Medicago truncatula: one gene and its partner. Each later gene encodes a partner of the first gene's protein in a complex. Links are inferred from orthologs where the notes say so. Each region holds a gene or a part of one and is shown in the gene's direction. Other genes may lie near its edges.

The links. Proteins that work in one complex are often made in the same cells at the same time.
Region 2: actin-related protein 6 (region 1) and SWR1 complex subunit 2 share a complex: the UniProt entries of both Arabidopsis thaliana proteins name them as parts of the SWR1 chromatin-remodeling complex. The link is inferred for Medicago truncatula from reciprocal best matches to the Arabidopsis thaliana genes ARP6 and SWC2.

What each region holds. Positions count from the first base shown.
Region 1 is NC_053043.1:24,224,106-24,231,159, forward strand, and holds the start of actin-related protein 6, read left to right. Parts: upstream 1-3,950; 5' UTR 3,951-4,050; coding exon 4,051-4,974; intron 4,975-5,061; coding exon 5,062-5,125; intron 5,126-5,485; coding exon 5,486-5,570; intron 5,571-5,682; coding exon 5,683-5,733; intron 5,734-6,710; coding exon 6,711-6,773; intron 6,774-6,847; coding exon 6,848-6,977; 3' UTR 6,978-7,015; intron 7,016-7,054. UniProt on the Arabidopsis thaliana protein: Component of the SWR1 complex which mediates the ATP-dependent exchange of histone H2A for the H2A variant H2A.F/Z leading to transcriptional regulation of selected genes (e.g. FLC) by chromatin remodeling. Binds to the promoter region of FLC chromatin.
Region 2 is NC_053049.1:37,156,094-37,163,977, reverse strand, and holds the start of SWR1 complex subunit 2, read left to right. Parts: upstream 1-4,851; 5' UTR 4,852-4,964; coding exon 4,965-5,189; intron 5,190-5,284; coding exon 5,285-5,590; intron 5,591-6,114; coding exon 6,115-6,187; intron 6,188-6,292; coding exon 6,293-6,412; intron 6,413-6,498; coding exon 6,499-6,567; intron 6,568-7,616; coding exon 7,617-7,659; intron 7,660-7,884. UniProt on the Arabidopsis thaliana protein: Component of the SWR1 complex which mediates the ATP-dependent exchange of histone H2A for the H2A variant H2A.F/Z leading to transcriptional regulation of selected genes (e.g. FLC) by chromatin remodeling.

The sequences.
Region 1 (7,054 bases):
ATAGTATCTATCGATTCACTTAATGTGATCACGACACTTTAATGCTTAATGTGAATGATAATGCTCTTACTAATCCAAGGAAAGCACTGGTTAGGGGTCTTATGCGTAATTATGGTGGAACTTTTTAGTTTAGATTATATGGGACAATAGGTTGGTCAAATTTGCTTCATGTAGAGATCCAGACACTCCTTGTTAGTTTGAGGTTTTGCTGGTAAGTTGATTTTAGAAAGTTTCCTGCTATTTTGATTTATTTCATATGATGTAATTAGCAACTATGGACTCATATTGCTTTCAACATTATGTTAAAATGTTGGAGATTATTTGAGATTACATGAAGACGGATTGAAATTTTACCCTCCACCGCAATCTTCAAAAGGGGAATGTTTGTGTAAATGTTCTAACAAAGTTGGAAGCTAATGGTATGGATACCTTGGTTATGGTTCATGAGTTGCCTCCATGTTTTTCACCAGCCTTGTTAGTTGACGCTATTGTCGTTAGGGGTGTTCAAAACATACCAGCCAATAGAAAATTGCAAACAAAAACAACTGAAATTGAGAACTGCAAAAAATCGTGTTTGGTTCGAATGTGTTCGGGCCAATTTTACCTAACCGTGCGGTACAAATTAATTTTCGAATTTTGTTTTGCCATCTGAATCAAATCCCATCCTTAAAGAAACATTCACTCCACTGATACACAGTCTATGTCACCCGTACCAAAGTCGCTTAGCCAACTCACTCTAATGATATTAGCATATATTCCTAATATTATTAGAAATCTTGGCTATAATTAAACCGGTCATAAGAAAACCCAAAAACATGTATAACAAAAAAAATGGACTAGGTTTTTAACTGATTTGGATCCTCCCTGCTCATTCTCTCATGTTGCCCATTATACCATAAGCTTGGCCATTCACTTAACTTATTTTTCTCTCTTCTTTATTATATTTTTTCATTTATAGATCAATCCACTTTTGGATTATGAAAATGATAGATGATTGAACAAAAAGAACATGAAAATATCCAAATCAGTTTTAATAAAGTCTTCTTATGACGTATAAAAGACACTCCTTAGGTGGTGTGTTATTTCTCATCTTTGTGTGATGTATTTTTTTATTTCTCATCTTAGTGTGATGTTTATCTGATTCAAAATAAAAGACTAACTTTGATTAAATACAAATTCAATCAATGACTTTGATGTTGTCAACGTTGCAGATCTAGAGTCGTGAGTATTCTAAAGACTTAAGGGTTAATAGTGCTTTACCCCCTGTAATATAGGGCACTTTTGGTTTTGCCCCCTATAATTTATTTTTTTTAGATTCGGTCCTTGTAAACAGGCCCGTTCCTAGAGTTTTACGGGCCTTAGGCATAATATGAAAAAAGGGCCCTTACATAATGCATCATAATTTTTTTAGCTCATTGTTGTGTTTTTTTGCTTTTCATTTCGTTTTTTTATTTTGCTTTTCTCTAACAAAATAAATGTTTTTTTAAGACAACATTTGAAAATAAATTAAATATTCTATATACACCAAAACAAAATAAAAATACCATAAAAGTAGAGAAAAGTAGCACATGTGAAGTAGACTGAAATTTTAGCACTCTATTTTCAACTAAAATAGAATTTGCTGTTACGAAAATTATCCCAATTTCTTGGATAATAAATATCGTCGATATGTTTAATATTAGTGAAGCACATTATTAGGAGCAAAGGGCCCAAAAAAATATCACCAATTTCTTCGATAATAAATTTTTTAGCATATTATCAAGAACAACCAAATTTTTTATAGGAGGGTGTATATAGAAAATTGTGTTACATGGGATATATATAGCAAATCTCACTAAAAGGGCAAAAAATACTAACAAATGTCAGCCCATTCCTTTATCATGTCAAAGTTTGGATCTTTGAAGAGAAATTTTCTATATATACCCCCCAAAATCCAAATATTTCTATATACACCCCCTTACCTTAAAAAAAATTTGGGCCTCCTACCGGCATGGGCCCTAGGCCGTCGCACTCGCGGCCTATGCCCTAGGGCCGGCCCTGCTTGTAAAACAAAGATTCTTCAAATTTTCCCCCTAAGCTATGTGACTCACCAGAATCTCCTATGTGGCGTTGACATGAATTTTTTTTTAAAATTTTAATTTTTTTTTGTTAGCCATGTGTATTAGTGATTATCTACATCTGATTTCATTAAAAAATATGAAAATTAATTTTCAAAAATTATAAAAACCGAATTAATTAGGAAAAAAATTATAAAAAAAATCTCAAATTTATTTATTTTTAAAATTAGGTTCCATAATTTTTTTAAATAATCTTCCTAATTTTGAAAAAAATATGATTTTTTTATTTTGAAAAAGATTTCATAAAAATTTAGGAATAAAAGTTTCAAAAAAATATCTGAATTCTTTTCTAAATTTAAATTTTTTGAAGAAAAAAAAAACTGAAATTAAGATTTTTTGATTAGAATTAAAAAAAATTATATTCAGATTTTAAAAAATTAAAAAATAATCAAAATTCTGGAACAATATTTCAAGATTTTATTAAATTCAAGAATAAACTTTTCAAAAATAATAATCTGAAATCTTTCTAATTTTAACATTTTAGAAAAAAAATCTGAAGTTAAGATTTTAAAAATTATAATTAAATCGAATTGATTTAGATTATATAATTTTTGAAATTTTACTTTCATATTTTGAAGTGGAATTTTTAAAAAAATTACCAGATTTTTAAAAATTAAAATATTTTCCAGACTTTTTAATTTCTGTAGAAAAAAATAAAAAAACTTTTTTAATTCAAAAAAGTCAGAATTTTTTATAATTTCGAAAATTAAATTCCATAATTTTTAAATATCTTAATTTTAAAAAAAATAAGAACGTTTTTCTATTTTTTTAAATTTTAAAAAAAATCTAAATGTTTTTTTCTTATTATTTTTAATTTCTGAAAAAAAATCAGAATATTTTTTTATTTTTTATATTTAAAAAAATTAGAATTTTATTTTTCTAATTTTTCAATGTTTTGAAAATTAATTTTCAGTTTTTTTGAAAAATATTTTTGTTTCTTTAAATTTAATTTTCTTTTTAGTTTTTAAAAATTTCGAAACATTAAAAAATAAAAAGAAAAAGCCACGTAAGTGCCACATCAAAGATTCTGCTGAGTCAATGGCCTTATGGGGCAAATCTGAAGAATCTTTATTTGACAAAGATCGAATCTAATTTTTTTTTTTACAGGGGACAAAACCAAAAGTGTCATATATTACAGGGGGTAAAGTACTCTTTTGTTTTTTTTGGTCAAGTAGCCTTGTGGCTAGAGCTCACACAATTTAATTGTGGAGAAGTGGAGTGTCGGGGTTCGAACCCCAGCTCCTGCATATAATATGCAATATCCCTACCAACTGAGCTAAGCTCACGGGGATGGGGTAAAGTACTCTTAACCCAAGACTTAAATATAACTATATTTGTAGACATATATGTACTCTCCCATTTACATAAATGTTGAAAATTTGTTCACCAATTTATTCTTTTTGTTTTTAAAGATTTAGAATTTGTATTGCATCAATGTACCATTCATTTAAACGTTTGAATATAGTTTATTTTTAAAAAAAATCCTAATAATTGTTTTCAATATTTTTTTGTGGGTTGATCCGGTAGGTCTGCTCCCGTATATGCATATATGGCTTGACAAACCCATCTTTTTTAACCCGGCTAACTGGATGAAGTTGTGGATGTTTTCACTAATCTAGGCCACATGTGCTTCGAGCTTATGAAAAATAACTTATGTAAATAGATAAGGTTTTATTTTAATTTATAAGTTTTTACTAACAAAAATTGTATCTTCATAAACGGTTTTTCATAAACTACTTTATAAACTTATATATAATACATAAAAACTCATTTATTTACATAAGTTATTTTACGTAAGCTCTAAAACAAGCTAATCCAAACGGGCTACTAATCGAATATCGATTATTCATTCATCTACCTTAAAAATGAAAGTGTAATAATTCATAAACCGACTCCACAAGTTAGGGAGTAAGCAACCAATTCAAGTAACAACATGTCGTCAAGCACGCAGGTGGTTGTTCTAGACAACGGCGGAGGACTAATAAAAGCCGGTTTCGGCGGCGAACGCGACCCATCAACCATACTCCCCAACTGTCTCTATAAACCCCTCACCTCCAAAAAATGGCTGCACCCAAACCCTATCAACACCCCTTCCTCCTCCTCCTCCTCCTCCTCCTCCGAACAAGACCTCACCTCCGCCTCCGTCCGCCGCCCCATCGATCGCGGCTACCTAATCAACCCCGACCTCCAACGCGATATCTGGTCCCACCTTTTCACCTCTATCCTCCGCATCAACCCTTCTCAATCCTCTCTCCTCCTCACTCAACCCCTCTTCACTCTCCCTTCCATTCAACACTCTCTCCACCAACTCGTCTTCGAAGATTTCAATTTTTCCTCTCTCTTCGTTGCTGATTCACCTTCCCTTGTTCATCTCTACGAAACTAGCCAACGTCCCAATGGCCTTCTCTCTAAAGCCCAATGCAGTCTCGTTGTTGATTCTGGCTTTTCCTTCACACACGCTTCGCCTGTCTTTCAGAACTTTACTCTTAACTACGCTGTTAAGCGTATCGATTTAGGTGGTAAAGCCTTGACCAATTACCTCAAGGAACTTATTTCCTTTCGTTCTGTTAATGTCATGGATGAAACTTTTATTATTGATGATGTTAAGGAGAATCTCTGCTTTGTTTCTGTTGATGTCGACAAACACCTTAACCTTGCTAGAAAGAGTGGGAAAGACAATGTTTTCAAGTGTACGTATGTTCTTCCTGATGGTGTTACGCACACAAAAGGGTTTGTTAAATATCCAGAACAAGCAAGCAGGTATCTTGCTGATGGTAAGGACGATATCGGTGATCACGAGGAGATTTCTAAACAACAACCTCAGGACAATAGACACAAAGTTGATTTGACAAAAAATGTATTTGTTTTGTTGGAATTTTGTTTTTTTAAGTTCACATTCATTTGTATCGATTTTATTAACTATTTCTTGCTTTGTGTTCTCTAGGAATTTGATTTGACGAATGAGCGGTTTCTTGTCCCCGAGATGATCTTCCGTCCAGCTGATTTGGGTATGTCTTTGTTAGTAGTTTCATTCTAGTGCTGTTTTCAAATTAGATTAGATGCACAACATGATTTCAATAAGGCTTTGTCCTTTTATGATTCATGAAATTGTGAAATGTTATATTCGGTTGGGGAAGATGTGTCGCGGATGTGATGTGTATATGTAAAGTGTCTATAAAATCTTAATATTGTAGTTGCAATCACAATTGTAGAATGTAATACAGAACATTGGAATTTTAGTTAAATATTTGGTTGATGAGTTTCCTAAGTGGATGCAAATGAGGATCTTAGTCTAATTTCATTATTTACCCCTTCGTGTTAGGTTTTTCTTATGTTCTCTGCAAAATGCTGAACGAAATGATTTGCAGGAATGAACCAGGCTGGGCTACCAGAATGCATTGTACGAGCAGTTAATGCCTGTCATCCGCATCTCCATCCTGTACTCTATGAAAGGTAAATTTGGTTTGATTTCCAACCATTTGATTTCATGACCCTGTTTGAGAATTGTTGCCTTTTCTTACTTCTCACCCTCGTATTTTGACGATGTGTTTACTTTCTTCGGCAGCATCATTTTAACCGGTGGAAGCACCTTGTTTCCTCATTTTGCCGAGAGATTGTAAGTTTTTTGTTTCGGCTACAACACTTTGTACCATACTACCATAATTTTTTTTGTTAGGTGGGCATGGTTTGTTTGGTTTCTTGATACCAAACCAAATATTTTTACAAATTTTTATGGATAAGCATTTAGATTTGAACTTTTTTATTTTGTCGTCAAACTGATTTGGTTTATGGTGAGCCGATTTTAAACTTGTTTTGGTATAGAATCAGTTTCACAACTTATTTTAAACCTCACTCAATGATGTGAAGTTTTCCCAAGGTAATCAAGCCTCAACTCAAAAGAGGCTATCACCACCTTCCACTTCCGACGTGCCACTTCATAGTACTCCTCCTCCCTATTAAATTTCGGCTTTCCCTCTGTCAACACCACCGGTATCCCCATTGTGAAAGCTCACCGGTTCAAATTCCAGCTTTCCCTCTGAGATCAGCAGCAAGCTCCCAAAACCATAAGCAATATTGCAGATCTTTGCTCTACTGTGATATGCTGGATGCACGTTGCTACAAAATTGAGCCTTGAAACTAGCAAAGGGAAAACCAGAAAATTAACTAGCCGAGAAATTAATAATGGAATTAATTTTTCTCTTACATGGATGGATATTTTTGGGAACCAAACATGAAATAGGGGAGGGAAATGAGATGTACCAGTTTCGGAACTTGGGCGAGGCTGGTGGAATGTAGTCCGTGATTTGAGAAATAACATATCTAGATCACAATTTTTGGATTTGGAATTTGAGAGTAAAAGTGTTTGGACTATTTACGAAATCCAAATCAGAATAATAAACGGATTTGATTTATCTATTTGGTGAAATGGTTTGGTTATTTTATCTGTGATTTACTTCAGTTTCAAATTTGGTTTGTTTGGCAATATTGCCTTTTCCAGAGACCCCTATTTTTTGCCACTTTGGTGTCCTATCTTTTATGTGTACTTCATAGCGTGATTTACAAGTTTAACTAATTGATTATGAAATTTTGTAGAGAGAAGGAGCTTCGGCCTCTAGTTCCTGATGACTATCGTGTGAAGATAGCTACACAAGAAGAGTAAACATCTTTCTTAGCCTATTTAGTTTCTTGTACGTTTGTAATTTCTATATGAATTAACGGTTCTTCTATAGTCCCCTACTAGGTGTTTGGCGTGGAGGATCTCTCCTGGCATCGAGTCCAGACTTTGATGCGATGTGTGTGACCAAGGCTGAGTATGAGGAGCTTGGTTCTGCTAGATGTCGCAAGAGATTTTTTCATTGACAATTCATGCCATGAATGTGACCATGTAAATCTTGTATGTAAGCTAACATGTACTAACTACTGTTTAGTTAGTGAGA
Region 2 (7,884 bases), on another chromosome or scaffold:
AAGTGACATAGAATCTTCCTCATCTTCCGCAATAACTTCAAATTGTTGCATTGGTTTTTCGGGAGTGTCCAACAAAATAGGTGCCGCTTTGTTTGACTCCTTTTGTGGTTTCGGCGGTTTGTTTCCACTTTCAATAGCCATGAGCTTTCAGAACAACTCATGTTGATCCAAATACTCATCTTCACAAGTCACCGCATCTTCTTTCTTGTGATTGTGCCGCTTCGTAGATGATGGAGGTAGTGGACAACCATTCTTCAAATAAATAAGCATGAAATGATTCGGAATTGCCCCAAGACACAAGATGGGAGTTTTTTGATTACCCGACGGTGGTGGCCCTCTTAGTGGGAAAAAAGATTCCGAGTTTCCAACTTCAAGATTTGTCAACACGACCACACACCTTTTGTAATAATTAGCAACAATGTGTCCCATGTCCGGAAAAGTCAACCACTTATCAACAAGATGTGCACAACTTTTTGTATTTGCGGGAGGATGTAAGTCATTTAAAATGTAGTTATAACGATCCTCACCTGCAAACACTTCAACATAATCATCTCTATGATCTATCAACTCTTGAATAAGATGTGTACGGATCATGAGATGATTTTTTTTTTGTCAAGCCCATGAACTCGGCTATAGCCCGGAATCCACAATGTCCATCGCCAATAACATCCACCACTTTTTCAATAAATGGAAGCATGAAACGTGGCATATAATCAATTGGCCTCATAACCGGGATACCCGTAGGCTTTGGATACCGAGTAGGTGGTGGAAGTGGGTTAAGCGATGTTTTACCAAGACGAGCACCTTTTTTCCTTTTATATGACGATGTTGTTGGTGATGGTGACGGTTGACTATCCGGATTTTGGGAATCAACAACCTCCCACGAAGAAGGGATCCGACTAGTCGATGTAATTTTTCCTTTAGACCTCGCAATGTCGACTTTTTTATTGGCTCCCTTGGTTGGTACTTTTCGTGGTGGTGGAGACATCATGGTGGTTTCATGAAATGCCAACTGCCGCAAACCCTCTTTGACTTCAAGCTTCATTTGGAAAGGGAGTTTCTTGAGACGTTCTACAATAGCCTTCAACTCAACCTCGACACAAAAACCAACTTCGTTACTTTCTTCGCCCATATGTAACATATGCCAATGGTGGTATATCTCATCCAATAAAACTGACTTCTCTTCAAGGAGCTTAGTAGCAATTTCGCATGCACATGGTAACTTGTAAGATGTCCTTTGAACACAACCACAAATTTCATTGTCCACGCACAATGTTTCCCTACAACGTGTCTCTTCCAAAGCAATGTTGTCCAAATTATATCTAGACACATGACCACCTAACCCGGAGTACAAAGTGACATCTTTGAATCTATGTTCCAACACACTAACGCTCTGACCAAAGGTTGTTATCGCAGTGAACTGAAGCAACAACATGTCATGTATTTTCTCCCAACAAGTACCCATATCACCCACACATTTGTCCAAATATTTCTTCAATAAAGCATGAGCCGATTCGACCACGTTGGTGGTCCTGCTACCAAGATGCATCACATGGTATGTCCATGCCCTCACAATTTTGTCCTTCACTTCATTCAAGGCGATCATGGCATAATTTTTGAAAAGTGGAAAATCACTACATGAATCTTGGAACTCCACTAATGCATTTGCATATAACTCTTGAGTGGGCGATTCAACCATAACTTTCCATGCCCTCATTATCTTCTTGACAACATCGCGATTACTCACCTCTTTCCCATCCTTTTTTCCCAAATGATATTTACAATCTAAGACACACATTTGTTTAACATTTGCTTGCACATGAAAGTAACAATTCATTGCATAACTTTCGGGAAAAACATTTGCAACCGCTTTCATCAAAGATATATCCCTGTCGGTCACAATCACCTTAGGCATATTCATCTTTGACGTAAGAAGTTTACGCAACATTTTTAAAACCCAAACAAAGTTTTTCTCTTTCTCATGCGTCACAAATCCAAACCCAATCAAATATGTCAAATCGGTCGAAGTGACCCCAACTACCTCAAACATTGGCATCCTGTACATGTTGGTTTTGTAGGTGGAGTCCATAACCAAAACCGTTGGAAAATTGTTAAACAACTTAACGGATGTTGGATGAGTCCAAAAGATATATTCGATTGTAGTACTTTCACTTTGTGTTCTTGAGTAATAAGTATAGTTGTGCTCCTCCAACTTCGAGATTAGATATTACAACGGCTTCTTGTCGCCTCTATTTTCCTTCCATATTTGTTGACGTTCATTGTACACTTGCTTCACATTTGTCATGCAACGTGGTCTTTTGTTCTTCAAATGTATCAAAATATTTCTTGGAAGCATCTTACTCTTGGTCAAGTCACGTACAATCTTCTTGTCGTCCTCCTTTAGTCTACCGGCAAGAATGTGTCCTTCTAAAGCTGGCTCAATCGCATGGTTGTGAACTCCGTTAAGAATGTTCAATCCTCATTCCTTTGTTTGCTTACTTTGATATCCACTAATCATGAACAAGCACCCACATTTTCTTGAGCCCATTCTCGCATGCTTCGGTTTTTTTCCGACACTTTGTACGCTCCACTCCTTTAACACACTAGGCGGAACATTGGATTGATCAAGCTTGATCTTTGTGTAACAATTGTAAATCCCGCCTTATTTGCTTGACGACGCGCCCACTCAAGCAATTCTTCTCTATCTTTCGACTTAACGTCGTCCGAAAAAAACCTAGTCGTGTCGACCTCGTGGGCTTGAAGTGGGAGGACACCGGAGCCGCCAACATACTTTGAAGCTTCAACATGGACGGAAGCTCCATCAATGTTTGGTTTCACTTCAACCTTAGGCAGTTTGACATCTCCGGAAAATTCGACAAAATTTGGTTTTGTCTTTCCCGGAACATCTTCCGCGTTCTCTACCATTACTATAATTAAACAACATATAAATATGAATTAACAACTAACTAATGCATAAACATCAATGCCACAATGAATTAAAACAAACAAAAAAACAATTTTTTTTTTTTGAAAAACTGGCAGTAACTGCCATTTTTTTGTTGTGAAAATTTTTCACAAGAGTTCCTCGGCACCTTAATACCGAGGTTTTCCTCGGCACTACACTACTGAAGTTTTCCTCGGCAGTTAACTGCCGAGGTTTCCCATGACAGAGTTCTACGTAACTGACATAGATATCCATAACAAAACTAAAAAATGAACTGATTAAAATGTTCAATACCTGTTTTTTTACGTCAAAAGTGTATTGATACCTCCTATGCTTGATGCTTGAATGATTTTAGATCAAGATTTGATGAAAAAAATATTGGATTTGGGGATTGAATGGAGGTGGTATTGAAGTTGATGATGAAAATAGTATGTAGGGGGAGCATATGACTGTTTCATCTGATGAAACATATTCCTCGGCAGTTAACTACTGAGGATTTCCTCGGCAGTTAACTGCAGCCGGTTTTTGAATTCCTCAGCACTGTCGAGGGGACAAAAATGTAAATTACTCGTGTGCCTCAGCCTTATGCGATGTGTCAACAAAAATTCTCTAAATATTTTTGAGAGACAATTTATAATCGTAATAAATATATAATAATTAAATATTTAGCTGAATGAGATTAATCTGTTCAATTGTGTGGTGTGGAGATATTCTATTTCTATTATATAAAAGAGTGATGATATTTGAACAACTATTTTGGTACAATTTTTGGGACAACCTTGTTGTTCTCTCTTTTTATTGGGTCAAAAATAATAAAGAGAGAATAAGATCATAATGTGAGTATGAGAGATAAAATTATACAAAGTTGTACCAAAATGTTTGTACAAATATCATTTCTCCATATAAAAAAGGAAAATGAAAGACAATTGTTAAGAAGTACAAAGAAGAATTTTCGTATTAGAATTGATACATTCAATACATTGTAACCAAGAAAAACTAATTATTTTACATAAAACTTACCAGTTATTTGTATTTTAGAATCTTTGACAAGTGTCTTAAGGGCACTAGTTAACAAGCTATAAAAAAAAGTAACGTTAACGAGTGCTCATATGACATTGATTGAAGTATAAAAGTAGTAGATTTATAAAAAGTTGCGTAATCATTGCATTGATTAGACGAACAACTTATAGGGATATAAGAATCTCGATCAAAAATCTTATCTGATGCTATTGCTGCCACCACTATTCCCATCAACGAGTTCGGTGATCTTGTAACTCAATGTAGAAGGTTACTTCTTAATAGACCCGACTTTGTAGTGTCGTATGTTAGGAGGCAAGCAAATAGAGTTGTTCATAGTATTGCTAGAGCATCACTATCTCACCCTAGCCCCTATATCTTTCATCATGTAACACCTACTTTGTATCCGTTAATTTTTAATGAAATGAATTAGCTTTGCCTTTGCTAAAAAAAAAAAAAAAGAATCTCGATCACTATGAAAAAATGAACAACTTGTATTTTCAAAACAAAATTTTCTTTAATAAAATCCTTAAACAATGTCCTTAGGACATTGATTACCAAAACTCTATGAAAAATCAATGTAGTATAATACAAGGCAAATTCAACCATATAATAATCATTTTGGTTCTAAAATGTGTAGAGACTAATCAAAATAGTCCTTCACTCTTACAAAATAGTATGATTATTGTGTATTTTGTTATTCAAAATAATTTGACGCTTCTTCTTTTTATTTTGAGGTTGTCCGTCCAACAATAAATAAGTGCAAGCAACTATATTGAAAAACTGTTAATGTTGACCAACTAAGTGTACAAGGAAAGACTATTGTGGTATTTGTTACCGAAAGAAAATGACTATTACCTCAAATTCAATACTCGAATATGTTTTGTCAAAAAATAAATAAAATACTCGAATATGTGAGAGTGGGTTGTACAAAAGAAAAGAAGGTTCCGGCGTAACTGTTAACACTGAACAGAAGGTAGCAGAGTGCAAGCGAGTTAGTACAATGGAGGAAAAAAATTCAGGCGAAGAAGAGAGATCGAATCTTCTACTCCTGGATCGTGCATCTCGAGCGACAAGAGGTAAACGTCTTTCCAAGCTTCTCGACGACGAAGTTCAACAAGATGAATTGTTCTGGGGTCAGGATGCTCTCAAAGAAGAAGACGAAGACGATAACTACCAAGAAGAAGCTGAAATCGCTGACGAATTTGACTCTGATTTCGATCAAGACGTATCTCTCTCTCTCTCTCTCTCTCTCAAACTCATTCACATCGATTAGTTAATTCAATTCAATTCTATTAAACTAATTCTTCTTGATTTTCTCAGGAACCTGAACCTGACGAGGAGCAGCCACAAAACGATGATGAAAGAATGAATAAAAAGAAGCGATTGGTATATCCTGGGAAAACGACATCGGCTAAGAAGAAGAAGAAGAAGAAAATCTTATCTAATTTGGATGATCCTCCCAAAATTGATGGTGATGATGACCAAGATGATGATAAAAACAACAAGAACAACAACCAGGACGATGATGCGAAGGAGGTAATGATTAGGAAGTCCACAAGAACTTCCGTCATTGTTCGACAAGCTGAAAGAGAAGCCATTCGTGAAGCTCTCAAAGCAACCTATAAGGTTCTCCACTCTCTTTTTCTGTGATTCCTTAGGGTTTATTTTCAATTCTTCATGTTATATCAGTTTTTCAATTATATGCTTGTTTGAATTACTGTATTCGTGCTCATCCAGTGGGATAAACAACTTAATTTGCACCTTATCACAACAATAGATAAAATGAAGTGAAACTGCTTTTGTATAAGCTATAAGCTGTTATCACAAGTTACTCCAGAAAGATTATTGAAATAAGCTTATAACAGCTTATGAACATGGCATAAGTTCTTCTAAACAATATCGCAGGTGCTTATGCTAGTAGACAAGATAAAATAAGGCAATCTTAACAAACCCTGTGTAAATGGATTTTATCTTATTATATGAAAACAGTTGTCAATATTTTTAATCTTTTGTTATAGAAATAGACTATACATAAGCACTTATATGATAAGCATTTATGTTAGAAGCGCTGAATTAGGTTGTTTACCTAAGTTCCAAACAACACCTGATTATGGTCTGAAAATGTTTTTTTTTTTTTTTTTTTGGCTCAGCCAGTAATAAGGAAGAAAGGCGAGGAGAAGAAAATGTCACAAGAGGAGATGCTTTTAGAAGCTGCTCAAACAGGTCAATATTAGAAAACAACATCTGCTTGTTGATTTCTTTGCTTGTTTGTTTGTTTTAGTTTTCTAAAGATCCTGTGATGTTTCAATTATGATTTTGGCCATGCAGAAATTATGAACTTGAGGAATTTGGAGCGAGTTTTAGCTAGAGAGGAAGAAGTTAAGAGAAGAGCAATTGTGCATAAAACTGTCTTTAATGGTCCACAGATACACTACATATCACAAAATGGTTGGATGCTGTATTCCATGTGCATTTAGTTTGATTGTATTGGTTTCTTGCCATTTTGACATATAGCAATCTGTTAATTTTTCCAGGTTGTTCGTATTTGGAGTTTACTAAAGGGGCATCATTTCACTCAGATATTGCCACAACACCTCAAGAATGTGCGTCCCTTTATGCTAGCACTATATTTTGGTTCATTTTTTTGTTGAAGAATGTAATATATTCTGTTTCTTTGTTCATAAAGTTCTCAAAGTGTGAAATTAAATTCCCAAAGAAATTGTTACGGCATTGATTTTCACAATACATTATTTGTTTGACTTATTGTTATTAGTTTATAGACAATAACTGGACATATTCCAAATGAAGGACCTTGGTAGAGGCTTTGTTTCAGATGGCATCGTTTTGCTGGATTAGACTGATGACATTATAACAAGTGCTAAGATGCAGTTGAACATAAATGTTTTGGAGACCAAGGGATTTCTCCTGATTTGTCCAAATACCGAATTTACAAAAATTAGTTAGGTTTAGGAAGAAGGATGGACGAGAGTATGTATAGTAAAAAATGAGTAGGAAGGAAGAGCACCCAGAACTGAGTGTTTTAGATAATTAGGGTCTATCTTACAAAAGAAAGGATTGATAATAATGTCCCACAATATCCAAACAGGACAGGTTGAAGTAAAGAAATGCTTCAGGTGTTTGTATGCGCCTCTAAGTAGAAAAAGTTTTACGAAATCCTAGTAAGATTTGCAACTATGTATGGATCAGAAATGTTGGGAAATAAACTGCAATCATGAGCATAGATGATGGTTGTAGGAATGAGAATGGAGTATGGGATGAGTGGGCATACTGAGATGGATAGGTTTAAATTGAATTCGTTAGAGAAAAAGTTGGAAAAGCTTCGATACAAAAAAAAAATTGATGGTTTAATTAGTTTAAAGTTAGGGTAGCTACTATATAGATAATGATTGACAAATCATATATCATACTACCACCACATGCCTTCATAACAAGTGAGGTTAAAGATGGCAAGTTGGTAACCCTTACAAATGGGTAGGGGGAGACGAAAAAAAAATGTGATAAAACTTGAAAGACTATTGAGAAGAGTTAAAAGTACCCAGCATCAGGAAATTCTATGTAGCTAAATAACTATATTTTTTTTTTTATTTCATTTGTTTTTTTACTTATACGATATATTGATATTTCTTTTCAGATCCAGAACAACCTGTTTGCGTGATTACTGGTTTGCCTGCCAAGTAAGAGCCTCACTTACCCAATATTGTGGTTATTGCTTTATTATTCACTACCCTGGTTAGGATGAGAGAGGCACATAGTGTGCAATTTGGACTACTTGATAATTGTTTCTTTACCCTACAATATCTTGTGCACATCACATGCTTTTCAAGTTTGGTTTCCTTTGCAAGTGATTTAATCTTAAAAAAAATAGGCAAATTGGTAGAATAGATTTAAGATTTAAAGTC